Arabidopsis thaliana: one gene and its partners. The protein of the gene in region 3 purifies or fractionates together with the protein of the main gene of each other region. This does not show direct contact. Each region holds a gene or a part of one and is shown on either strand. Other genes may lie near its edges. The genes, in order: AT1G61150, AT4G09310, AT4G37880 and AT4G09200.

Region 1 (6,655 bases), on a different chromosome or scaffold from region 3:
AATCCAAACATCTTTGTAGCAGCATTCAAATAATGCAATGAAATTCAGCTAAATCAAAACGATGAAATTGAAGTTAGAGAAGCGTGTAATCAAAATTCTCAAGCTACCACAAAAGCCGAGAAAACTACCTCAGCAGAATCAGGCTTCTCATCTAGAATCCGATAAAGCGTTTCGATGTCAATAGTCTCGTCATCATCTTCAAACTCAAAACCACCATCACAATCATCAACCGGAAATTCACCTCCCAGACCAAACATTGAACCTTCCTCACCCATCAAAAATCACAAAAAAAAAAAAAAAAAACTAACCCGAGAAAGAACGAGAAGAGGAACAAACCCTAAATCAGAAAACCCAAAAGTCACGGAATTTCAGCTCCCGGGAAACCCAAATCGAAATTCAGAAGTAGACGCGTAGATCCAGAGATTGTAGAATTTTCAGGTACGACGAAGAAGAAGGCTTGAGAATTGGGTTTTGAAGGAATTTTCGAGGAAAGGTAGAGAGCAGTTGGGATAGAGAAAATAAAAATCGCGACTTTTTGTAGCGACGGTGGCTTCTTTTTATTGCCTTGTTCTCTCTTTTGGCTTTCTCCGAATTGGAAAAAGTAAACACCACAAGGCTATGGGACTTCCGGCTTTAAATAAGGAACGGTCGAACATTTGTTTTTCTTTTTCTTTCATTTTTTTCCATTTTTTCATTATTTAATAATGCATGATTATATATAATTATATTTTATGCGCCGTCATCTTTATTGTTAAAGCAAAATCACAATTTAAACAAAAGGAAACAACTTTAATTAGTAGTAGGAAACTGAAGTGTTTAAGTAATGGAGATTTTTTTGAAGTGTTTGCTAATCATAATTTATTGTAAAAATTATTTTTAATTGTGTGAAAATTAGATTTTCTACACTAACAAAAAAATTTCATATGTTAAAGAAAACAAATATGAAACTAAATCACAAAGATCAATTGGAATTAGACATGTGGATCGACTCATTAGAAAAATAATCATCTCAATCAATAAGAAGAGATAAAACATATATTTGACTAAATGATCTTACCAATCTTGTGGTCATAAAATTCTACAAAGCACTATATTGCTAATTTCTACAAAGCACATTTGTAATCTTCTGAATCATTTGTTAGCCCTAAAAGAAGACTAGTATTATACGAGATCACCATTTTTATGATTGATCAAATATCTTGTAGAGCGCAAAACTTTGTAGGTAGTTTGATGAGAAAGAGCTTGCTTATTATGTGATCAACAATTCCGTTCTTGCCATGTCTCAAAGTAGTTGCTTGCCATATTAATTGATATGAAGAGCCTTTGATTTTGCAGAGATAGGAATTGCCAAAAGAAACCATATGAGGATTGACTCGAGAAGTTTTAGTGTAACTTCTTCACTAAGTCCTTCCAAACCAGTTGGGAAAAATAATATTAAAGAATAAGTGGTCCATTGATTCTTAGTCGGTCAACTAGCTAGAAGACCTCAAATTCTGCAATCGATCCTTTGTCTTATTGTGGTTCCACACAAACAACCATGTGCAAAGAACAAAACATGTTTTGGGACTTTAGTTTGAAGATGCAATTAAACATATTGTTAGATTGTTGACCAAGAAAAAACATATTGTTGAGATTGAAAGATATATTTTGCATCGGACTGCAAAATGTTTATGTCACATATTTGTTACCTAATAGTTGATTTTAATAGAGTATAATAGAGTATCAGTTATTGGTTTTAAATTGTGTATCAAATTCCAAATAATATAGAGATTTTTAACATCAGTCTTATTTAATTATGATTTTAACCAAGTGTCGTTAGCTCAATTGGTAAAGACCTTATGCAAAGCTTAGAGGTCGCCGGTTCGAGTGACGCTTGGGACGAAACTAATATTTTATGCTGTGGTTTCAGGCCTGGGGGATTACGGACTTTGACCCACAACCTCCAAGATTTAAAAAAAAAAATAAAAAAAAATTATGATTTTAAATCGAAATTTTGTTCTTCAAAGGTAAAATAGTTTAAAAATCTTTGGGTATTAAAATCATTTGGAAATGAGTTACATAATACTATCCGGTATATAAAGAACCAAATCCAAAAACAAACCGGTTCCCTTAATAATTTAAACCGGATTATTCATCGACGGTTCGTCAACATCCTAATAATTTAAACCCGATCTCTTCTTCTCTATCGAAAACCTCCAACTTTTTTTTGTTTTATCAGATTGTAAATTTAGGGAAGAGACTTTCGCAAGCAATCTAGAAGCAAATCGATCGCCAAATCTCCGGATTATTTGCAAGAATCGTTCCCAGATAATCTTCCCCAGATTCTCCACTTCTCCAGGTACATCGTTATATTCAATTTTTGAGGAAAATAGTCGCACACTCTCTCTTTCTTAGAACTACCACTCCTGTGCTGTTTTGAGATTAAAGCTTGAATTTTGACTAAAGCCCTAAATTACTTTGTATCACTATCTGATCACAAAGTCAATTTCTTTTGGAAATAGCTCTGATCGGAGTGTTGCTCGAACAGGTATTAATTTCGTATTGAGTGGATTAGATTAGATTTCAAGATATGAGAGCCTCACTGGCGTTCTAATGTCACTGTTTCGTATTTTTATCAATCAGCTTGAAGAAGACGACGAAGATATGGTAATTTTGACTCCTCTTATGAGTCTGTTCTTTGTGTTATTTGATACAACTTGATGATGGGTTTTTGGAAAACTTTAATCTTTATGCACGTTGTGTGACCTAGTTTTAATCGTGGCTTGTCGCAGGCTACTTCGAAGAAAATGATCACACGTGAAGAATGGGAGAAGAAACTAAATGCTGTGAAGCTTAGGAAAGAAGATATGAATACTTTGGTGATGAATTTTCTTGTGACTGAAGGATATGTTGAAGCTGCTGAGAAATTCCAAAGGGAGTCTGGAACCAAACGTATCCTTTTTCTGATTCTGGTTTTGAGTTTTTGTTTATGGAATTGGTGTGTTTGATGTTTAGCTTATCTACTCCTTTTGAACTTCCTTATCGAGAAACAGCAGAGATAGATCTTGCGACCATTACTGATCGAATGGCTGTTAAAAAGGCTGTTCAAAACGGAAATGTCGAGGATGCGATTGAAAAAGTTAATGATTTGAATCCTGAGGTACAATGCTTCTTCATATCTTGTGTGGAGAGTAGTCATTCACTTTTCTGATGTAATAAAGAAGCAAAATCTGATTCTTCTTTGAACCCATGCTTGCAGATACTAGACACGAATCCGGAGCTCTTTTTTCATCTTCAGCAGCAAAGGTTGATAGAATTAATTCGACAAGGGAAGACAGAAGAGGCCTTAGAGTTTGCTCAGGAGGAACTTGCACCACGTGGCGAAGAAAACGTAAGTCTTTGTATTTCACTTTGATTTCTGTCGTTAAAGATGGTGTTTTCCATGTGTATTGCTCATTGACTGTGTGTAATATCTGTTGTTGCTGAAACTTCATTCATACAGTCTGTTATATCTCTCTGCAGCAAGCGTTTCTGGAAGAATTGGAAAAAACTGTAGCCCTACTTGTTTTTGACGATGCCTCTACCTGCCCGGTTAAAGAGCTTCTTGATCTTTCCCACCGTCTTAAGACAGCAAGTGAAGTAAATGCAGCGATTCTTACAAGCCAGAGCCACGAAAAAGGTAGCTTTTGAATTTTGATGTTATACTGGTTGTCTTTTAGTAGCCACAAAATACCATTATAATCTCGAGCATCATTCATTATCAATCTTAAGATTCAAAGTATATGCAACTCTTCTCTACATAACAAGTAAAATTTTTCATTCATTACTTCACCCACAACATGTATCATCCAAGTTCTTCTTGAAACTTTCCATTTTCCTCCATGGTTAATGTAGCAACTCAATGTTTGTGAACAAACAGATCCTAAACTTCCAAGCTTGTTGAAGATGTTGATTTGGGCTCAAACTCAACTGGACGAGAAAGCAGTGTATCCGCACATTAATGATTTGTCTACCGGTAAGCTCGAAGACCCGTCAGAATGATTCCGTACTTCTTTCAGCCATTGGAAATCAGTAGCAAAAAGGAACAATGAATGGTGCTCTCTTCTCTTCCCGTCAATCTCAATAACTTACAATTCATATGCTTTCTGCTTTTCCTTTTCTTCTGCATCGGGATTTGTTGGACCCGCAATCGTTAGGATATGGGGAGGGGAACATAAGCTTTTGTAGGCAATGAATTACTCTAGTCAAATGTTCTTATTATCAACATATTTGATGACTCATTGCATACGTGCATTTGATTTGAATGAAGTTATCGACTTTGTTTGGATCTTTGTGTTTGTTTTGAGGAATATTTTTGTTCCAAAAGGTTCGAATTGTAAACAAGAGAGATGGCTTATTCATCCCATGTATAGTTACATGAATCAATGAATCAACTTGGCACGGTTCCTACTTACCTAGAAAGCAACATGACCTATTGAATTGAGTGCTGTTACCGTCGAAATGGAGAATCTCTGCGAACCGTACTGAAACATCATTTGATTTTTCTTCTTCTTCGCAAAATATTATTTTGGTACTGACACAGCTTTGAATCTTGCATGACATGGTACGAAGTAAATAAAGGGAAGTAGTAATAGCAACTTTTTGATATATAAAATAGGAAACATAATCCACAAGACTCAAGACCTTATGTTGACTCTAGCCATCTCAATCTTGCATGATATGGTCTTCCGGATCATAGGATTTGGAGGGTTTGCTCTCCACCTCATCTTCGGATGCGGGTCGGCCCAAATTGCTTTGTCCGCAGTCAACATCTGCAAACTCCTCAGACACGAGCGGCACCTTTTCCTTGATGCTTCTAAGTTTGGCCTCTACCTTCTCAGCTTCATCAACTACATCTGACACATAATTAAGGATCCATCCGCAGTTCGCTGCACATACCCCTTCCTGCAACTCCTCGCGTAGCCCTTCCTGGAACAGACACGCCAGCTGCTCTTCCTCCAACTCTCTTCCGAGGTTCTTGACCTTCTTAAGGAACTCGTTATAATACTCACGCACTGTCTCTGTTCCTTGCTTCACCTCAAAGGCTTCCCAGCTCAAGGCAATGTTGACGTCAACCAGCTTAGACTCATCGAAGGCTCCGCGCTCAGAAGCTTCTCGGGGTGGCTGATCCTCCTCCCCAACTACCCCTGTGAGCTCAAAGTTTTTTGGTTCACCAGATGTCTTGATCGACCTGGTCTGCCTGCGGGTCAATAATTCATCGAGTTTTATACATTTAATAATTTGTTACAAAATATGAAAACAAGGATAGTTTTCAGTTAGAAAAACAATTTATTATCTTAGAAAATCATGACTATGCTAAATCTAATATATTTAAATAAAAAACTTTACATCAAAATTCTAACAAATTATCAAATATTATGGATTTGAGGGAGTATAAATTATCATTATAATTCAACAAAATTAAAACTGAATTTTGCGAAAACATAATTTATATGAAACTCGAGTATAAAAATGATGACTCGAAATGGATCAAATAGAATAAAGCAATCGTAATGTCGAATAGTGGAAAAGAGATTTATATCTTATTTTATTTTGTCTGAAAAAGATCTATCTTCACCTATTTTTATTGAACTTTAAATATTTTAAGCAAAAATAAAATTGATTCAATTTGATATAAAATGAGCAAAGACCTTTTGATCATGATCCTTTACAAGATTTTCATTTCATGCTTTATCATTACAGAAAAAAAAAATCTAACAAACTAATCTGAAAGCTAAAAGATTGAAAATAATATAGTTTCTTAATATATTTTATCAAAATCATTAATAGATATTGTGAAATAGATAATAGAAAATTGAGAATATCTAAGGAACTTACAAATTGATATTACTTCTTCCATTAGTCATTGTGGAGAATGAAGAAATAAAAAAAATGGGAAATGAAGCTCTTAAAGTGAGTCTAACCAAATGATGTACTTTTATTAACTCCCAAAATGGGATATCATTGATTTATGTTCTATAAATAAAAAATTAACCTGATTCATTTTTCTTATATAATAATTGATTAAGACATACGCTGGCAAAATTTTTTTTTTTTATGTCCGCTCGCAAATCAAAAAAATATGGAAATACAATAAATTTTAATTATAATAAATTAGCTTTTATTTTCTTTTCATAATTTCTAATAAATATCTCATATACCCAATTTACAGTATCGTATTTTGTATTAAATAAGTTTGAGTTAAAATTGAATCATTATGAAAATCTAATTAGAATATATATATATATATATATATATATATATATATATGTGTGTGTGTGTGTATGTATAGTACTGGTACATAATATTAATGTTTTGTAACAATTTCGGTTTCTAGTTTCTAAAATATGGTAAATTATCAAAATCGATTAATTATGATATTTTCACAATTATATTTTTCTAATATTGTAAATTTGTTCCCAAATTTTTTTTTTTTTAAAGTCCCAAAGATAGAAAGTTATTATTATAATTCCAAATTTAAAATAAATTTTAAATTTAATATGGAGATTGACTCTTGTAGTCTTTTGACTTGTTCATTAATATGTTCCCGAAATAGTTTTATATGGTATACAAAATTAAATAATTGTATAAAAGGTAAATCTAAATTTAAGTTACGTCAGATTTGATCTTTTATGTG
Region 2 (6,409 bases), about 12 Mb from region 3:
TGTCTTTCAGATTTCCAGCTCTTGAAACTTTGTCAATGTACCAAGTGAGATGATGATGATGTTATGTTTTGTGAATTGTCAACAGGTCCTGAATTGGAGCGCTTGTTGAAGGAGCTGATTTGGACTCAGAATCAACTGGATGAAAAAACAGTCTATGTGTATCCACGCATGAATGATTTTTCCACTGGCCAGCTCATATACCGACCAGAATGATTCTTCTTCCCTTTCAACAACTAACGGCTCTGCAAAAGGGAACATATATAGTGATATATAACTGATCTGTCGCAAGAACATGATGACCATTTCTTCCTAGTGAGTATTTTGAGTGAGGGGGGAGTTTTTAGCCTTGCTCTTATGATTTAGGGATTTTCTTATTCATGACAATATTGGACCCCTAGGTAGTACTAATAACAAGAGAGGGTTTTTGTTTTCAAATGTTGGTTTACTGGTTAGGCTTTTATTCTCCACCATGGTATGGTTCCTATAAAGCTACATAAGAATTCATTTTGAAGTTTGTTTGGTGTGTGACCGAAGAACCAAAAAAAAAAAAACAGTTGCTCATTCTTTGTCTACTTATCTCACTATTCGGCAATGCATATACGTCCTAATCTTTGTTTTGCTTATCTTAGTTATTCTATCTCTCTCCCTTACCTAAAAAGCTGGCTTCAAAGGACTTGACGGATCGTTTATAAAACAGACTAGTCATAAACATAGATTTATATTCGAGATGGCTTCAAATACGAATCTTAAACTGTTTATAGTATATATAGTATCTAATAGCTGCGGGTGTTGTGAAAGGGAACTTAGTGTTGACCATGGTCATGGAGTTTAACCAAGAAGTTTGTTGAACCAAGGATTCACACAATAGATTTGTTTAGAGAGGGAAAACAAATCTAGTAATTTCTCTTCATTAGGTATTCTATCCAAGACTCGATTACAAGAGGGGTTCTAATCTCTTATGAAATACATTAGGGTTTTGCTCAAGAACAGAAAAAGAATTAAAGTTTTAAAAAGGTATAGCTGCATCCATGATGGATTGCCTACGTACCCTGTGAAGGGATCAAGCCATTCGTAGTTCTCAATAGGTATAAAGTTCTATGTTTCTTGTGAATATCCCAAGATCTCCCCCTTTTTGTGAAGTCCCTAAGGCACTTTATATAGGATCCTTAAACCGCCTCCCTAGCGATATTCTTCGGAAGATTCTTATTTATCCTTAGGTCGGTTCTAGAGGATAATCGTCCTAAGGATATTCTCCTTATTCTTCGGAGGTTTTGGGGAGATTTCCTGATTTCGACATTATCTTCAAAGATTCTCCTTTATCATTTCTGAAAGTCCCATAAAAGATCCCATTTTACCGGAAATGATCCTTGGAGAATGAATGGTTTTTACAAGTCTTTGCCTCGCGTGTTCTTCACGGCTCGGTGGTCGTTTGAGAGGTGGCTTCGGGGCAAACGGTATGTACCGGCTCGGGGCGCGCTTGATGACTGTCCATTAAGCTCAGTTGGCTGTCTCCCGAGCCGATATAGATGTGTCCCGCAGCGTTCTCACGATTGGCTCGGGCTGTGTTCATATGATTAACACCCGAGCCATTTTACAAACTCTCTTCGGGACGGTCGATCGAATAAGGTCCCGAGGTGCTTTGTTCTAGGCTAGGGGCCAATCATATGTTTAACCATGAGGTGATTGTTATTCTTAGACTGTTTGGCTCGGTCTTGCTTGTGGGGGAATCCGACCCCAACGAAGTTGTACCTTGACGGAAGAGAGCACGAATGGGATCGGTGCGGGTGTCTGGAAAGTGCCTGAAGAAGGTTCATGTGATGATCAAACTCTGGAATGCTACTGGGAGTACTGACTGTACCAAAACCTCCTCCAACAGTGCCACAGGGAACAAGCAAGCCCCATATCAATGTGTGATGAAGTTGAAGGAGCAGGGTCGTAAGGTGGACTTCCACAGTTAGAAGGAGGCTTGTGTGATGGAGGAGCTCCATATCCTTCGTCATAGTACTGATTTCCGGATCTGAATAAAGAAGCATGGCATCATTTGGAAGTAAGAGATCACATGAGAATACCATCCCTAGAACCGAGAGAGAAAAGTTTATGTTAATAAATTTTTATTGTATAATTGATATTGAAAAACATTAATAAACAGTGTTCACATAAGGTGTAAATTCACCCCAAAAGCACTCTAAAAAGTAAAAACCAAAAGAGAAAAAAACATAGAAATGGTTACTTAATAATATACCGAGTTTCATCTATTTACTTAATAATATACGGTTATTTGATTTACCGGTTAACTAAAAAATATCTGGTTTAATCGTATTTATTGTTGGCAAACACAACATTGGGCGCGAAGTGGTTTTTGATGCCCTTCAACAACATTTGGGGGTTTCATTTCAATCGCATTTCTAGGGTTTCTTTCTCTACGATTCAATAGATTCGGACGAATTGGGGGATTCTGACCAGAGAGAAGCTATGGAGGAAAACGAAGAGGAAGAAGAATTGCGGCCAACGGCGCTATACACGGTCGGTGGTTCAGACGAATTTACCTTTGTTTCTCCCGATGGGCTCTCCGGTCAATACACGGGCCCTGATCACGACGGCGTAGTTCTTCAGACTGAAAATCCGGCGCCGACTAACTGTCTTGCTTACTACTTCGAGGTTCATATCATGAATGCTGGTGAAAAAGGAGAGATCGCGATTGGTTTCTCCAAGGAACACATCTATAGCGAAGGGTATCGTTTTCTTTCCCTTTCAATTCGCATTTACCACTTATTGCGTGATTTGATACTCAATACAATCATTGATTCTGTTTGATTTGGTACCTGAGACTGAGAGAACAAATTGGGAAATAGGTTTAGATACAATGGTAGATCAGTAGTTCAAATCACTGTTTCAATGGTTTGGATTCGTTACTTGGAAATAGGTTATGTGATTTGCTGCTCAATTTGATTGTGTTGGCTGTTAGATCTGGTATCTTACAAGTTAATGGGAGATTTGCTTTGTTAGATGTTTTCACCTTTCAGTAATTAAGCATTCCAATTCACTGTTTCATGTTTCTCTGTAATGTTAGATATACTGTCAGAAGCTGTGCCTACATTGGTAACAGTGGACTCATATGCTCTCAAAATGGAGATGGTGATCGAACTGTTGCTAAAGCCAGTGACACCTATACAACAGGTGATTTAGTTGGTTGCGGTATAGACTCGGTTTCACAAGAATTCTTTTTCACGTAAGTAATAACTGTTTCCCTATCTGAACATGTTTCATTACAATTGGAAAAGTAGATATCAAGATACACAATTCATTTCTTCATGTCACAATGTTTTTGACATGTCCCTGCGTATGTTTTACTTGCTGACATCTATGACTACTTCTTTGATTATAGGAAAAATGGAACTATCGTAGGGACAATCCCCAGGCAATTTAGGCGTCCTGTATACCCGACAATTGTTTTGCATAGCCAAAACGAAGCTGTCACTGTCAATTTCGGCGGACAGATTGCGTTTTCTTTTGACTTTGAGGTAAGGTCGTACTTTTCTTTTCTTGCATAGTCGGAGAATAACTATTGAGTAAGCAGAATAATATGCATCTCTCACATATGTCCATATTTGCATGTATGTGGCATATTTTTCTGATACAATATTCTATTATCTGATCCACCTTTATTTCAGCATTTTGAAGAATCATTGAGGGTTAAAAAAGAAAGGGAAATTGAAAAGATTTCCATGTCTCGCAGCATTAGTCATGGGTAAAGTGTCTTTTCCTGCCTGTTCTTAATTGTAATTCTTGTTTCTGTTTGTGCTAAAGCTTCCTTTTTCCAGGCTTGTAAAAACCTACCTTCTTCGTTATGGATATGAAGATAGCTTTAGAGCTTTTAACCTGGCTGCAAGTCGTCATACTGTTATTGCACAAGAAAATAGTTTTGATGAGTATGAATTGCATCAAAGGAAAAAGCTCAGAGAGGTACTTTTCACTGCTATGGTTATCTTGCTGTAATTTTTTTTTTATTTTTTTTCTGTGAGGTACAAAATCAACCAAAAGCAAGCTACATTGCTACATCTTTTCTGTTTCATATCGAACTGATCCATGCATTCTGTTTGTTAAAGCTTATAATGACTGCTGAGATTGATGATGCTATTGCTGCACTCAAGGATAGATATCCCCAACTTATTGAGGTGGGCTGAGTAACTAGTTAATATATCGAGTGATTCACATTGTTAACATTCCTTGAACTATTTTAACAAGCTGCTTGTATCATATGCAGGGTGGATCAGAAGCTTATTTTCTTCTTATCTGTCAAAAGATTGTCGAATTAGTACGGGTATGTTCTTTATTCCTTGTATATTTGTTACACATATCCATGGTGTGTTTCTCTAACTAACTACAATGCAGAAAGGAGCAATAGCAGAGGCTAAGTCATTTGGAAATCAAGATTTTAAAGACTTTAGGGATTCAAGCCTACTAAAAAACCTTTTCGATGTATGTAGTGATTCTCTAACTGTTAGATTAGGTTTCTCATATTTGAGTCACTAATAGTTTTGTTTTTCTCTATTTCAGGATTGCTCTGCTTTGTTCGAGTGTGAAACTATAGAAGAATCAGGTGCTGCATATCTTCTAGGAGAAACACAGAAGAACATAGTAGCAGCTGCAGTCAGTGAAGCGATTCTATCTACAAATCCGGCCACCAGAGACCAGCAATCTGCTTCACTTGAGCGAGTGCTTAGACAGTTTGAAGCCACCTGCTCACTCTATGCTCGTGAATAAAATCTTGACTTTTTCTGTTTTTCTTTTTATCTTTTCTCTTGATAGAGTCATTGTGTAAGCTCAAATGTTCTAAAACTAGCGATCATACTTTAACTTGATTCACAACTATATACGAGATTATATTGGAGCTTGAAAATTTTTATTTACAAGTATTTATCTACAAATCGGCAAATATTGAGCTGCTCATACTAATTTTGATAATTTAATCGGCTACAAATTTTAATGACATGTTGTTGTTAGCTGTAAGTTAAAATATGAAATCGAAAGTCTTTTGTTTATTGCTTTCAACTTAAGCCTTTGTGATTACAAGCTATGTCTATTTATACATCTAGATTGATTTAACCTAGTGTCTTCTTGATTTGCATAGCTGTCACTTGGCTGTTATGTGGCGTCGTTGTCTTCACATGATTCAAGAGCCTCATAGCGATTCCTCGTCGTTACTTCCGTACTGCGTGGAGATAAGGACCGCTCTGCAACTTTTCTGCTTTTGTCCTTTGTTGTTGCAGGTTGTCGTTGCACTATGTTGGGCTTGGCTCTTGGATTGGGCACTTGTTTCGGATTGGGCTTTAATGGTTTTGAGCCCAATTCCAAAACTGTGTCGTTTGGAGCTGTTCTGTTGATACTCCCCCTCAAACTTGGAGGAGGTGGGAAATCGACACCAAGTTTGAATCGGAGAGATTCGAAAGGAGCCTTGGCGAGAGACTTTGTAAATATGTCAGCGAGCTGTAGATAACCCGGGATATGATGGACGATGAGCTCACCAAAAGCTACCTGCTCTCGGACATAATGATAGTGAGTTGCAAAATGCTTTGTCCGAGCATGAAACGATGGATTCGCTGTAAGGTAAACGGCAGAGAGGTTGTCGCAGAAGAGTTCGGGGAGCTATAACTGCGGAACACCCAAATCACGAAGTAAATTGACTAGCCATGTGATTTTCGAGGCTGTATCGGACATAGAGCGATATTCAGCTTCGGTTGAGCTTTTGGCGACTGAGACTTGCTTTCGAGAAGACCAGGAGATTAAATTGTTGGCAAGAAATGTACAGAAGCCACCGGTGGAGCGACGTGTACCATGACAACCGGCGTGATCACTGACACTGTAAGCTCGGAGTTGACAATCTGTGTCCTTGTTGAATGAAATTCCCATGGTTGTTGTTCCTCTGATGTATAGGAGAATCCTTTTGAGGAGAAGAAAATCCGACATTGTAGGGGCGTGCATCTTTTGGCACACGTAATTAACAGAGAATTGGAGGTCCGGTCTAGTAAGTGTGAGGTAGTGCAGCTTACCAGCCAAACTTCTTAAATATGATGGATTGTCGAAGAGCTCGGTTTGATTAGGTGCTCTCTCAGGTTGAAGTGGCAATGGTGTTGCAACAGGAGAACAGTTGGACATTGCAGTTGTAGCTAGAAGATCTTCTACATAATTCTACTGAGAGAGAAAAAGACCTTTTGGATGAAATTGCGCCTGAATACCAAGAAAATAACTAAGTCTGCCCAAATCTTTCATCTTGAACTGCTTATTGAGCTCATTAAGAAGACTGGAGATAAGTTTTGAGCTATTTCCTGTGATGACAATATCATCAACGTATAGAAGAAGCATGATCACATCCTTGTTCTTTACGTAGACAAAGAGAGAAGGGTCAGAC
Region 3 (5,855 bases):
GGTTTATAAAGATGACTATACCATTTAATTATGATAGACCCCACACGAAAATGTGTAAGATAATTTTGTAAATTTGTAAGATATTATATGTGAATTTTTACGTGTTTTTTTTGTTTGAAAAACTCTATAGCTCGGCTACCTCTACGTAGTTGGTATAATGGTATGTATAATTCAGCTTATTTTTTTGGAAATCAAGGATAAGGTTTGACTTCCTTTTTCAACTAGTATTAAATCGAATTAAAAATATTCATCTAAAATAGTTCAGATGTGGGAAATAAATCTTTAAAGAAATCAACGTGTTATAAGCGACCAACTTGCCTAATTTATTCAACTTGATAAATGAAAAAATCTGTAACTTGCATATTGGTAATTGATTTTACGGTCTAATATTCGTGATCTCCATCAAATAATTTTCGCAAGTGTCACTTATTTTATCAAGTTGTTTGATGATGATAAAAATTCGTTTGATGGTTTCGGCCGGGGAATATCGAAAACGATAGACATAGCTCCGATTGTATTTTAGGAGATGGGCACGCATCTCAAAGTAAGTAGATTCGTGAGAGGACACGCAATGAGGTTCAACATATATATACGTATACTTATTTTATTTTTTAATATTCACACTATATTATTATATGTATCAGTATGAATCAGGAAAAGAATACTACAAGGAACGTTACGAACATGATGATTGTTATTTCACAATTACAAGAACCTTCGTCACGTGTTGTTTTGGAAGTTATTGTTTATGTTCATCATTAGATTGTAATTAGTTTATGTATAATTAGATACTCCAGCTTTCTGAATCCAAAAGTGAAGGAGAATATTTTTATCAGAAAGACTCTGCAATTTGCATGCTAGCATGGGCGCAGGATAATGAAGACAACAATATATACAAAAGTTTAATAAAACATTTTTAAAAAGAGGTTTTCTAATAAAATGTGGCAATAATCGACGGTTTGGATATTATTTTAGTAGAAATCTTGTCATATAATTAATTTTGTATTAAAGCTAATATGAAAAAGGTGCAAGTCATAAAGCACCACGTACTCTCGTGCACAAAGTCTCACGGGATTTGCATTCTGATCACAAAGATGTGTTTACTACAACTCATTTTATGACCATAATTCTTGTTAATGCCTAAAAATTAATCCGATCCAACTTTAATAGTCTGGACCCAATCGGCCGATGGACTTTAATTACTATTGGTTTTATGAGTTTTGAAAATTCAAAAAGAATATAGAAAAGGTTAAGCAAACTTAAAGTCTTTCGCTGAATTGTAGCTTTTTAGGAATAAGAGTCTTTTTGTTATAAGAAAAAAAGTCTTCCGTTGGCACATATATTATCGCGATGGAGAGAGATCACGACTCACGCGAGAGACCCCCGTGAAAGTTTCATGACAATTTTTTTGGTTGTCGGTCTCGGCCGTGACCGATTAGATGTTCACATCAATGACCCACGTTCCAAAAAAGATGAATTAATTTGCATTTATAAATTCTAATCTATCATCGTTTCAACCATTTTTATATTCAGACCATACGGTAAACCATTTTAGACAACACCATTAGTCATATAGTTAAATAACGAGTAGGGCTACAAAAAAGAGAGTTGAATAGTTGTTCATTGAAGATCTTCTCGAATCTTGACATAGGTACTACTTGATAATGGAATCCAACGCTGTAGATTAACCATGTGCAAGGGAGTGGTTAATTAGTACTATTATATGTATGTACTCTCAATTTCTTTCACTTTTGAATGTTCATTGGTTCTTTCTCTTATTGATTATTTACATTCCCATTATAGATTCCAGTTTTGTCACCTTGTGGGGGAGGCCGATTCACTCTTCTCCTCTTCCCTTTTCTTGGATATCTCAATTCACAGTCCGCAAAAAGAGTTTCTACTGATGTCATAATTTAAACGCGTTATTTTCTCCTATATATTCGTTTTGGTGGGTTTCTCGTATTTTAACAACTATTGAAACAAATAAAATGAATCACACGAAAAAACACACTATAGAGTCTATATCTTCGATAACATATAACATACATGATTTGATGAAAGCAAACTGAGAAAACGTTTTTTTTTTTTTTTTTTTTTCTGTTTTGGTCAAAGAAGATGTTTTTATTTTATTTTATCAAATTATTATATAGTTTTAACTATATTTTTCATACGAGGACAGATTTTTTTTTGCATGTTTGATATCTTAATTTTTTGAAAAGTTTTGTGGTTTCTAGTACCCATAGTTTTCTATTTAAAGTGGTTTCATAAAACATTAAAATTCTGGTTTCGATGTAGTTTTCTATACACACTTTAAAGTGTTAATAGCACTATTTATAGACAGAAACGAAAATTCAACACTAATTGATTATGAAATTTTGGAATTGAGTTCTCACGAGCTTGTGATTATCTGACTTGGACGTTTTTATAAACTATTGTCTTTTTTTGTATCTTAATTTTCGTGGCTTTATTCAAAAGTTAAAAAAAAAAAATTAAAATAATAATAATCAGAAATTGAAATTTTAAATTTACATTACGTGTAAGCAGAATTAACTTATAATTTTTCATAAAAGCAAACAAAATTTTAAAGACTAAATGTCAAATTCAGTTTATTTTCATAGTTTTAAAATTTAACACAAATGTTTTTAAAAATATAATTCACTATTGATTTAAGGTTATTCTTAAATAATGTACAATTAGAAACTTTAGTTACTTCATTAACGGTAAGAAAAAGTTGCCGTTACACTCGTTACAACAGTCATATTTTGTTTTTCACTGCGTAACAATTTATCAAAATGTAAACATAGAGAAGCGGTAGTTGGGCCTTTTTCTCTCCTTTCAAAATATATAATGGGCTTTTTAGTTCACGGAAGACCTAGAGCTTGGAATCGTCTGTAATATACTCCACACTAAAGTATATCTAACACTAAACAAATCCAACGGCTGAGAGTCTTTTATTCACTATAACACGTGATAGTTCTCCCTAACTCGTAAGGATAATAATCTGAAGGAGTGATGAGAAAATATTAACGAAAAACAAAAAAAAAAAGACAGAAGACAAAAAAAAATCACGAAATCTGATTTTCCTCTCTTTTGCTCGAAGCCAAGTCTCTGCTTTTACTTTGATCCACCAACTTCATCTTCAACCTCTCGATTTTAGGTACGTTTTTCCCTTTCTTTGTGTATCTTAGAAGTCTTTTGATTTTCACGCTGATTCATTTCTGGAAGTTTTTCGATTTGGTCTTCATAGATTCCTGAAATCGTTAGTTTGAAATTGATTGAGATCTTTGATTCTATATAGAAAATTTATCTGATCTGTTTATTCTGGAATCAATTTGTGATTAGAGGAAATTGTGTCCTCTGTTTTAAGTTTCTGATTTTGGATTTGAAGATCCGATTTTTGCATCTTGATGATTCATTTCAAAAAATGTCTAATTTTGGTATGATTTTTGCTTGTCTCAGGTAAGATTCTTAGAGTGATTTTGACTTATCTAAGAATGGAGCTAAAGAGCATTAAGGATGCGTTTGATCGTGTTGCGACGAAGCAGAAGCTCTCTTATAGCAAAACTAATGAGATTGTTCATATGTTGTCTCAAGAAATCGATAAGGCTTTGAGCATATTAGAGGAGACACCATCATCAGATACTATGCTTCTTGATCATAGATCTATCCTCGCTGATGTGAAGAAAGTGTTTATGGAGATTGCTCCAATCACTCAACTTGAAGCTACTGAGAAAGAGCTACATGCGGCTTTGACCAAGTACCCTAAAGTTCTTGAGAAACAGCTGAATCCAGACATATCAAAGGCTTATAGACACAATGTTGAGTTTGATACTCATATCGTTAACCAGATTATCGCCAACTTTTTCTACCGTCAAGGAATGTTTGACATTGGTGACTGTTTTGTTGCTGAAACTGGTGAATCTGAATGTTCTACAAGACAATCTTTCGTGGAGATGTATCGGATACTAGAAGCTATGAAGAGACGAGATCTTGAACCGGCTCTTAATTGGGCTGTTTCGAACTCTGACAAACTAAAGGAAGCAAGGTCTGATCTTGAGATGAAGCTTCATAGTCTACACTTTCTGGAAATAGCACGAGGCAAAAACTCCAAAGAAGCTATCGACTATGCGAGAAAGCATATCGCCACGTTTGCAGATAGCTGCCTCCCGGAGATCCAGAAGCTCATGTGTTCTCTCTTATGGAACAGAAAACTCGATAAATCACCATACTCCGAGTTTCTCTCCCCCGCTCTGTGGAACAATGCAGTCAAAGAGCTAACCCGACAGTACTGCAACCTACTCGGTGAATCATCTGAAAGCCCGTTGAGTATAACAGTAACAGCGGGCACACAAGCGTTACCAGTACTATTGAAATACATGAACGTGGTGATGGCGAATAAGAAGCTTGATTGGCAGACCATGGAACAACTTCCTGTTGATGCGCAACTATCCGAGGAGTTTCAGTTTCATTCGGTGTTTGTCTGTCCAGTCTCTAAAGAACAGTCAAGTGATGATAACCCTCCGATGATGATGTCTTGTGGACATGTGCTTTGCAAGCAGACGATCAACAAAATGTCAAAGAATGGCTCTAAGTCGTCGTTCAAGTGTCCTTATTGCCCAACCGATGTAGACATCTCAAGGTGTAGGCAGTTGCACTTTTGAAACGAAAGCTCGGGAATTTGTACGACCGATATAAACTGGAACTAAGTTCTGAATCGGTGAAATCTGTGTCAAAATTGTAACCTTGTGGTGTTCTCTGTTTCTTTTTTTCATGAAGTTTTTTAAGTGATGGGGCTTTGGTGTACAAATTGATCAGGGGAAGTTTTTAGATGATTGGACATCCCATAAGAATGTGTTTTTGGTGTTGTTGCTATTTGTTTGTTAAACCTTTTGAATATAGAAATTCTTTACACTGCAAATTTAGTTTAGATTAGCTGGAACCCTGGAAATTAAGCTCTCTTTTAGAATTACTGGTCACATGGAAATAAAACAAATTGATTTTTGCTGCGCTCATCTGTTAAATAGAGAATCATGTCTTAGTTAATCTAATTTTCGTACAATCATTGTTTGGATGGGTTAGACACATATAACGCTACAATAGAAGTAGTTCTTGAGTTAGAGAATTAGGCTCTTTCTTTATTATATGTGAGGCAAATGTTGGTTTATTGTGTTGTTCGTCTCTTCTTTGGTTAGCTTAGACACTTTGGCCTTTTCAAGACTCGTATTGGTTTCTTCTTTGATTAGCTTAGAGAATTTGGCTGTTTCAAGACTCGTTTTGGTTAGCTTAGAGAATTTGAATTCCTAAACAAGATTTATTGGGCTTAGACCCCAAAAGATGGGCTTAAGCTTGCACTTGTGTATATGTCGATTCATACGTGTGTCTCGTTCATGCGAGTCAGCTTGGTTTTGAATCCACGAATGACGAGACCTATTCTTCTCAAAAGAGTACACAAAATATATCCAAGTTTAAATATACCAAAAGGCAAAAGCAATGAACCACGTTCCACGTATCAAAATTTTCTACTTCAATTTGACCGATTGACTAGAGTGTATTGGTAGTTAATGGGGAACATAATGGGGAACACAATAGACGCACAAAAATTGGTAAATAAAAGAGAAAATGAAGAATCATCATGAGTTTTTATTCAATTCACAAAAGTACATGAGACAAAAACAAAGCTCAATTCCGCCGTAACAAACAAATAGCATTATTATGTTAGCCAGTTTTTTATTTTATTTTCTGGAGCTAGCACCCACCACTTAAAGAAGTTATTTTTTTTTTCTGGTAAACACCACTAATTTGTATTAAGTGTTTATGTACCTTTCTGTTTCTTTGTATCACATCATTGCAAAATT
Region 4 (5,976 bases), about 12 Mb from region 3:
GAAATAGCTCAAAACTTCTCTCCAGTCTTCTTAATGAGCTCAATAAGCAGTTCAAGATGAAAGATTTGGGCAGACTCAGTTATTTTCTTGGTATTCAGGCGCAATTTCATCCAAAAGGTCTTTTTCTCTCTCAACAGAAATATGCAGAAGATCTTCTAGCTACAACTGCAATATCCAACTGTTCTCCTGTTGCAACACCATTGCCACTTCAACCTGAGAGAGCACCTAATCAAACCGAGCCCTTCGACAATCCATCATATTTCAGAAGTTTGGCTGGTAAGCTGCACTACCTCACACTTACTAGACCGGACCTCCAATTCTCTGTTAATTACGTGTGCCAAAAGATGCACGCCCCTACAGTGTCGGATTTTCTTCTCCTCAAAAGGATTCTCCGGTACATCAGAGGAACAACAACCATGGGAATTTCATTCAACAAGGACACAGATTGTCAACTGCGAGCTTACAGTGACAGTGATCACGCCGGTTGTCATGGTACACGTCGCTCCACCGGTGGCTTCTGTACATTTCTTGTCAACAATCTAATCTCCTGGTCTTCTCGAAAGCAAGTCTCAGTCGCCAAAAGCTCAACCGAAGCTGAATATCGCTCTATGTCCGATACAGCCTCGGAAATCACATGGCTAGTCAATTTACTTCGTGATCTGGGTGTTCCGCAGTTACAGCTCCCCGAACTCTTCTGCGACAACCTCTCTGCCGTTTACCTTACAGCGAATCCATCGTTTCATGCTCGGACAAAGCATTTTGCAACTCACTATCATTATGTCCGAGAGCAGGTAGCTTTTGGTGAGCTCATCGTCCATCATATCCCGGGTTATCTACAGCTCGCTGACATATTTACAAAGTCTCTCGTTAAGGCTCCTTTCGAATCTCTCCGATTCAAACTTGGTGTCGATTTCCCACCTCCTCCAAGTTTGAGGGGGAGTATCAACAGAACAGCTCCAAACGACACAGTTTTGGAATTGGGCTCAAAACCATTAAAGCCCAATCCGAAACAAGTGCCCAATCCAAGAGCCAAGCCCAACATAGTGCAACGACAACCTGCAACAACAAAGGACAAAAGCAGAAAAGTTGCAGAGCGGTCCTTATCTCCACGCAGTACGGAAGTAACGACGAGGAATCGCTATGAGGCTCTTGAATCATGTGAAGACAACGACGCCACATAACAGCCAAGTGACAGCTATGCAAATCAAGAAGACACTAGGTTAAATCAATCTAGATGTATAAATAGACATAGCTTGTAATCACAAAGGCTTAAGTTGAAAGCAATAAACAAAAGACTTTCGATTTCATATTTTAACTTACAGCTAACAACAACATGTCATTAAAATTTGTAGCCGATTAAATTATCAAAATTAGTATGAGCAGCTCAATATTTGCCGATTTGTAGATAAATACTTGTAAATAAAAATTTTCAAGCTCCAATATAATCTCGTATATAGTTGTGAATCAAGTTAAAGTATGATCGCTAGTTTTAGAACATTTGAGCTTACACAATGACTCTATCAAGAGAAAAGATAAAAAGAAAAACAGAAAAAGTCAAGATTTTATTCACGAGCATAGAGTGAGCAGGTGGCTTCAAACTGTCTAAGCACTCGCTCAAGTGAAGCAGATTGCTGGTCTCTGGTGGCCGGATTTGTAGATAGAATCGCTTCACTGACTGCAGCTGCTACTATGTTCTTCTGTGTTTCTCCTAGAAGATATGCAGCACCTGATTCTTCTATAGTTTCACACTCGAACAAAGCAGAGCAATCCTGAAATAGAGAAAAACAAAACTATTAGTGACTCAAATATGAGAAACCTAATCTAACAGTTAGAGAATCACTACATACATCGAAAAGGTTTTTTAGTAGGCTTGAATCCCTAAAGTCTTTAAAATCTTGATTTCCAAATGACTTAGCCTCTGCTATTGCTCCTTTCTGCATTGTAGTTAGTTAGAGAAACACACCATGGATATGTGTAACAAATATACAAGGAATAAAGAACATACCCGTACTAATTCGACAATCTTTTGACAGATAAGAAGAAAATAAGCTTCTGATCCACCCTGCATATGATACAAGCAGCTTGTTAAAATAGTTCAAGGAATGTTAACAATGTGAATCACTCGATATATTAACTAGTTACTCAGCCCACCTCAATAAGTTGGGGATATCTATCCTTGAGTGCAGCAATAGCATCATCAATCTCAGCAGTCATTATAAGCTTTAACAAACAGAATGCATGGATCAGTTCGATATGAAACAGAAAAGATGTAGCAATGTAGCTTGCTTTTGGTTGATTTTGTACCTCACAGAAAAAAAATAAAAAAAAAATTACAGCAAGATAACCATAGCAGTGAAAAGTACCTCTCTGAGCTTTTTCCTTTGATGCAATTCATACTCATCAAAACTATTTTCTTGTGCAATAACAGTATGACGACTTGCAGCCAGGTTAAAAGCTCTAAAGCTATCTTCATATCCATAACGAAGAAGGTAGGTTTTTACAAGCCTGGAAAAAGGAAGCTTTAGCACAAACAGAAACAAGAATTACAATTAAGAACAGGCAGGAAAAGACACTTTACCCATGACTAATGCTGCGAGACATGGAAATCTTTTCAATTTCCCTTTCTTTTTTAACCCTCAATGATTCTTCAAAATGCTGAAATAAAGGTGGATCAGATAATAGAATATTGTATCAGAAAAATATGCCACATACATGCAAATATGGACATATGTGAGAGATGCATATTATTCTGCTTACTCAATAGTTATTCTCCGACTATGCAAGAAAAGAAAAGTACGACCTTACCTCAAAGTCAAAAGAAAACGCAATCTGTCCGCCGAAATTGACAGTGACAGCTTCGTTTTGGCTATGCAAAACAATTGTCGGGTATACAGGACGCCTAAATTGCCTGGGGATTGTCCCTACGATAGTTCCATTTTTCCTATAATCAAAGAAGTAGTCATAGATGTCAGCAAGTAAAACATACGCAGGGACATGTCAAAAACATTGTGACATGAAGAAATGAATTGTGTATCTTGATATCTACTTTTCCAATTGTAATGAAACATGTTCAGATAGGGAAACAGTTATTACTTACGTGAAAAAGAATTCTTGTGAAACCGAGTCTATACCGCAACCAACTAAATCACCTGTTGTATAGGTGTCACTGGCTTTAGCAACAGTTCGATCACCATCTCCATTTTGAGAGCATATGAGTCCACTGTTACCAATGTAGGCACAGCTTCTGACAGTATATCTAACATTACAGAGAAACATGAAACAGTGAATTGGAATGCTTAATTACTGAAAGGTGAAAACATCTAACAAAGCAAATCTCCCATTAACTTGTAAGATACCAGATCTAACAGCCAACACAATCAAATTGAGCAGCAAATCACATAACCTATTTCCAAGTAACGAATCCAAACCATTGAAACAGTGATTTGAACTACTGATCTACCATTGTATCTAAACCTATTTCCCAATTTGTTCTCTCAGTCTCAGGTACCAAATCAAACAGAATCAATGATTGTATTGAGTATCAAATCACGCAATAAGTGGTAAATGCGAATTGAAAGGGAAAGAAAACGATACCCTTCGCTATAGATGTGTTCCTTGGAGAAACCAATCGCGATCTCTCCTTTTTCACCAGCATTCATGATATGAACCTCGAAGTAGTAAGCAAGACAGTTAGTCGGCGCCGGATTTTCAGTCTGAAGAACTACGCCGTCGTGATCAGGGCCCGTGTATTGACCGGAGAGCCCATCGGGAGAAACAAAGGTAAATTCGTCTGAACCACCGACCGTGTATAGCGCCGTTGGCCGCAATTCTTCTTCCTCTTCGTTTTCCTCCATAGCTTCTCTCTGGTCAGAATCCCCCAATTCGTCCGAATCTATTGAATCGTAGAGAAAGAAACCCTAGAAATGCGATTGAAATGAAACCCCCAAATGTTGTTGAAGGGCATCAAAAACCACTTCGCGCCCAATGTTGTGTTTGCCAACAATAAATACGATTAAACCAGATATTTTTTAGTTAACCGGTAAATCAAATAACCGTATATTATTAAGTAAATAGATGAAACTCGGTATATTATTAAGTAACCATTTCTATGTTTTTTTCTCTTTTGGTTTTTACTTTTTAGAGTGCTTTTGGGGTGAATTTACACCTTATGTGAACACTGTTTATTAATGTTTTTCAATATCAATTATACAATAAAAATTTATTAACATAAACTTTTCTCTCTCGGTTCTAGGGATGGTATTCTCATGTGATCTCTTACTTCCAAATGATGCCATGCTTCTTTATTCAGATCCGGAAATCAGTACTATGACGAAGGATATGGAGCTCCTCCATCACACAAGCCTCCTTCTAACTGTGGAAGTCCACCTTACGACCCTGCTCCTTCAACTTCATCACACATTGATATGGGGCTTGCTTGTTCCCTGTGGCACTGTTGGAGGAGGTTTTGGTACAGTCAGTACTCCCAGTAGCATTCCAGAGTTTGATCATCACATGAACCTTCTTCAGGCACTTTCCAGACACCCGCACCGATCCCATTCGTGCTCTCTTCCGTCAAGGTACAACTTTGTTGGGGTCGGATTCCCCCACAAGCAAGACCGAGCCAAACAGTCTAAGAATAACAATCACCTCATGGTTAAACATATGATTGGCCCCTAGCCTAGAACAAAGCACCTCGGGACCTTATTCGATCGACCGTCCCGAAGAGAGTTTGTAAAATGGCTCGGGTGTTAATCATATGAACACAGCCCGAACCAATCGTGAGAACGCTGCGGGAAACATCTATATCGGCTCGGGAGACAGCCAACTGAGCTTAATGGACAGTCATCAAGCGCGCCCCGAGCCGGTACATACCGTTTGCCCCGAAGCCACCTCTCAAACGACCACCGAGCCGTGAAGAACACGCGAGGCAAAGACTTGTAAAAACCATTCATTCTCCAAGGATCATTTCCGGTAAAATGGGATCTTTTATGGGACTTTCAGAAATGATAAAGGAGAATCTTTGAAGATAATGTCGAAATCAGGAAATCTCCCCAAAACCTCCGAAGAATAAGGAGAATATCCTTAGGACGATTATCCTCTAGAACCGACCTAAGGATAAATAAGAATCTTCCGAAGAATATCGCTAGGGAGGCGGTTTAAGGATCCTATATAAAGTGCCTTAGGGACTTCACAAAAAGGGGGAGATCTTGGGATATTCACAAGAAACATAGAACTTTATACCTATTGAAAACTACGAATGGCTTGATCCCTTCACAGGGTACGTAGGCAATCCATCATGGATGCAGCTATACCTTTTTAAAACTCTAATTCTTTTTCTGTTCTTGAGCAAAACCCTAATGTATTTCATAAGAGATTAGAACCCCTCTTATAATCGAGTCTTGGATAGAATACCTAATGAAGAGAAATTACTAGATTTGTTTTCCCTCTCTAAACAAATCTATTGTGTGAATCCTTGGTTCAACAAACTTCTTGGTTAAACTCCATGACCATGGTCAACACTAAGTTCCCTTTCACAACACCCGCAGCTATTAGATACTATATATACTATAAACAGTTTAAGATTCGTATTTGAAGCCATCTCGAATATAAATCTATGTTTATGACTAGTCTGTTTTATAAACGATCCGTCAAGTCCTTTGAAGCCAGCTTTTTAGGTAAGGGAGAGAGATAGAATAACTAAGATAAGCAAAACAAAGATTAGGACGTATATGCATTGCCGAATAGTGAGATAAGTAGACAAAGAATGAGCAACTGTTTTTTTTTTTTTGGTTCTTCGGTCACACACCAAACAAACTTCAAAATGAATTCTTATGTAGCTTTATAGGAACCATACCATGGTGGAGAATAAAAGCCTAACCAGTAAACCAACATTTGAAAACAAAAACCCTCTCTTGTTATTAGTACTACCTAGGGGTCCAATATTGTCATGAATAAGAAAATCCCTAAATCATAAGA

Evidence for each region.
Region 1: the proteins of AT4G37880 (region 3) and AT1G61150 fractionate together in Arabidopsis thaliana (co-fractionation; one large-scale study listed by BioGRID). This does not show direct contact.
Region 2: the proteins of AT4G37880 (region 3) and AT4G09310 fractionate together in Arabidopsis thaliana (co-fractionation; one large-scale study listed by BioGRID). This does not show direct contact.
Region 4: the proteins of AT4G37880 (region 3) and AT4G09200 fractionate together in Arabidopsis thaliana (co-fractionation; one large-scale study listed by BioGRID). This does not show direct contact.

Annotation. Positions count from the first base shown.
Region 1 is NC_003070.9:22,540,336-22,546,990, forward strand, and holds AT1G61150 (LisH and RanBPM domains containing protein), read left to right. Parts: upstream 1-2,161; 5' UTR 2,162-2,338; exon of another isoform or gene 2,339-2,527; 5' UTR 2,528-2,592; coding exon 2,593-2,646; intron 2,647-2,771; coding exon 2,772-2,931; exon of another isoform or gene 2,932-2,968; coding exon of another isoform or gene 2,969-3,032; coding exon 3,033-3,139; intron 3,140-3,238; coding exon 3,239-3,370; intron 3,371-3,501; coding exon 3,502-3,658; intron 3,659-3,898; coding exon 3,899-4,020; 3' UTR 4,021-4,683; coding exon of another isoform or gene 4,684-5,218; 3' UTR 5,219-5,326; downstream 5,327-6,655. Other genes in the region: EDA16 (SNF2 domain-containing protein / helicase domain-containing protein / zinc finger protein-like protein), read right to left, coding at 129-275; AT1G61160 (retrotransposon gag), read right to left, coding at 4,684-5,218, 5,857-5,885.
Region 2 is NC_003075.7:5,900,477-5,906,885, forward strand, and holds AT4G09310 (SPla/RYanodine receptor (SPRY) domain-containing protein), read left to right. Parts: upstream 1-2,336; 5' UTR 2,337-2,472; coding exon 2,473-2,732; intron 2,733-3,070; coding exon 3,071-3,229; intron 3,230-3,385; coding exon 3,386-3,521; intron 3,522-3,671; coding exon 3,672-3,748; intron 3,749-3,821; coding exon 3,822-3,963; intron 3,964-4,106; coding exon 4,107-4,175; intron 4,176-4,264; coding exon 4,265-4,321; intron 4,322-4,392; coding exon 4,393-4,479; intron 4,480-4,557; coding exon 4,558-4,764; 3' UTR 4,765-4,973; downstream 4,974-6,409. Other genes in the region: AT4G09300 (LisH and RanBPM domains containing protein), read left to right, coding at 86-213.
Region 3 is NC_003075.7:17,806,689-17,812,543, forward strand, and holds AT4G37880 (LisH/CRA/RING-U-box domains-containing protein), read left to right. Parts: upstream 1-2,948; 5' UTR 2,949-3,157; intron 3,158-3,459; 5' UTR 3,460-3,494; coding exon 3,495-4,661; 3' UTR 4,662-4,971; downstream 4,972-5,855.
Region 4 is NC_003075.7:5,857,258-5,863,233, reverse strand, and holds AT4G09200 (SPla/RYanodine receptor (SPRY) domain-containing protein), read right to left. Parts: upstream 3,991-5,976; 5' UTR 3,855-3,990; coding exon 3,595-3,854; intron 3,257-3,594; coding exon 3,098-3,256; intron 2,942-3,097; coding exon 2,806-2,941; intron 2,656-2,805; coding exon 2,579-2,655; intron 2,506-2,578; coding exon 2,364-2,505; intron 2,221-2,363; coding exon 2,152-2,220; intron 2,063-2,151; coding exon 2,006-2,062; intron 1,935-2,005; coding exon 1,848-1,934; intron 1,770-1,847; coding exon 1,563-1,769; 3' UTR 1,354-1,562; downstream 1-1,353.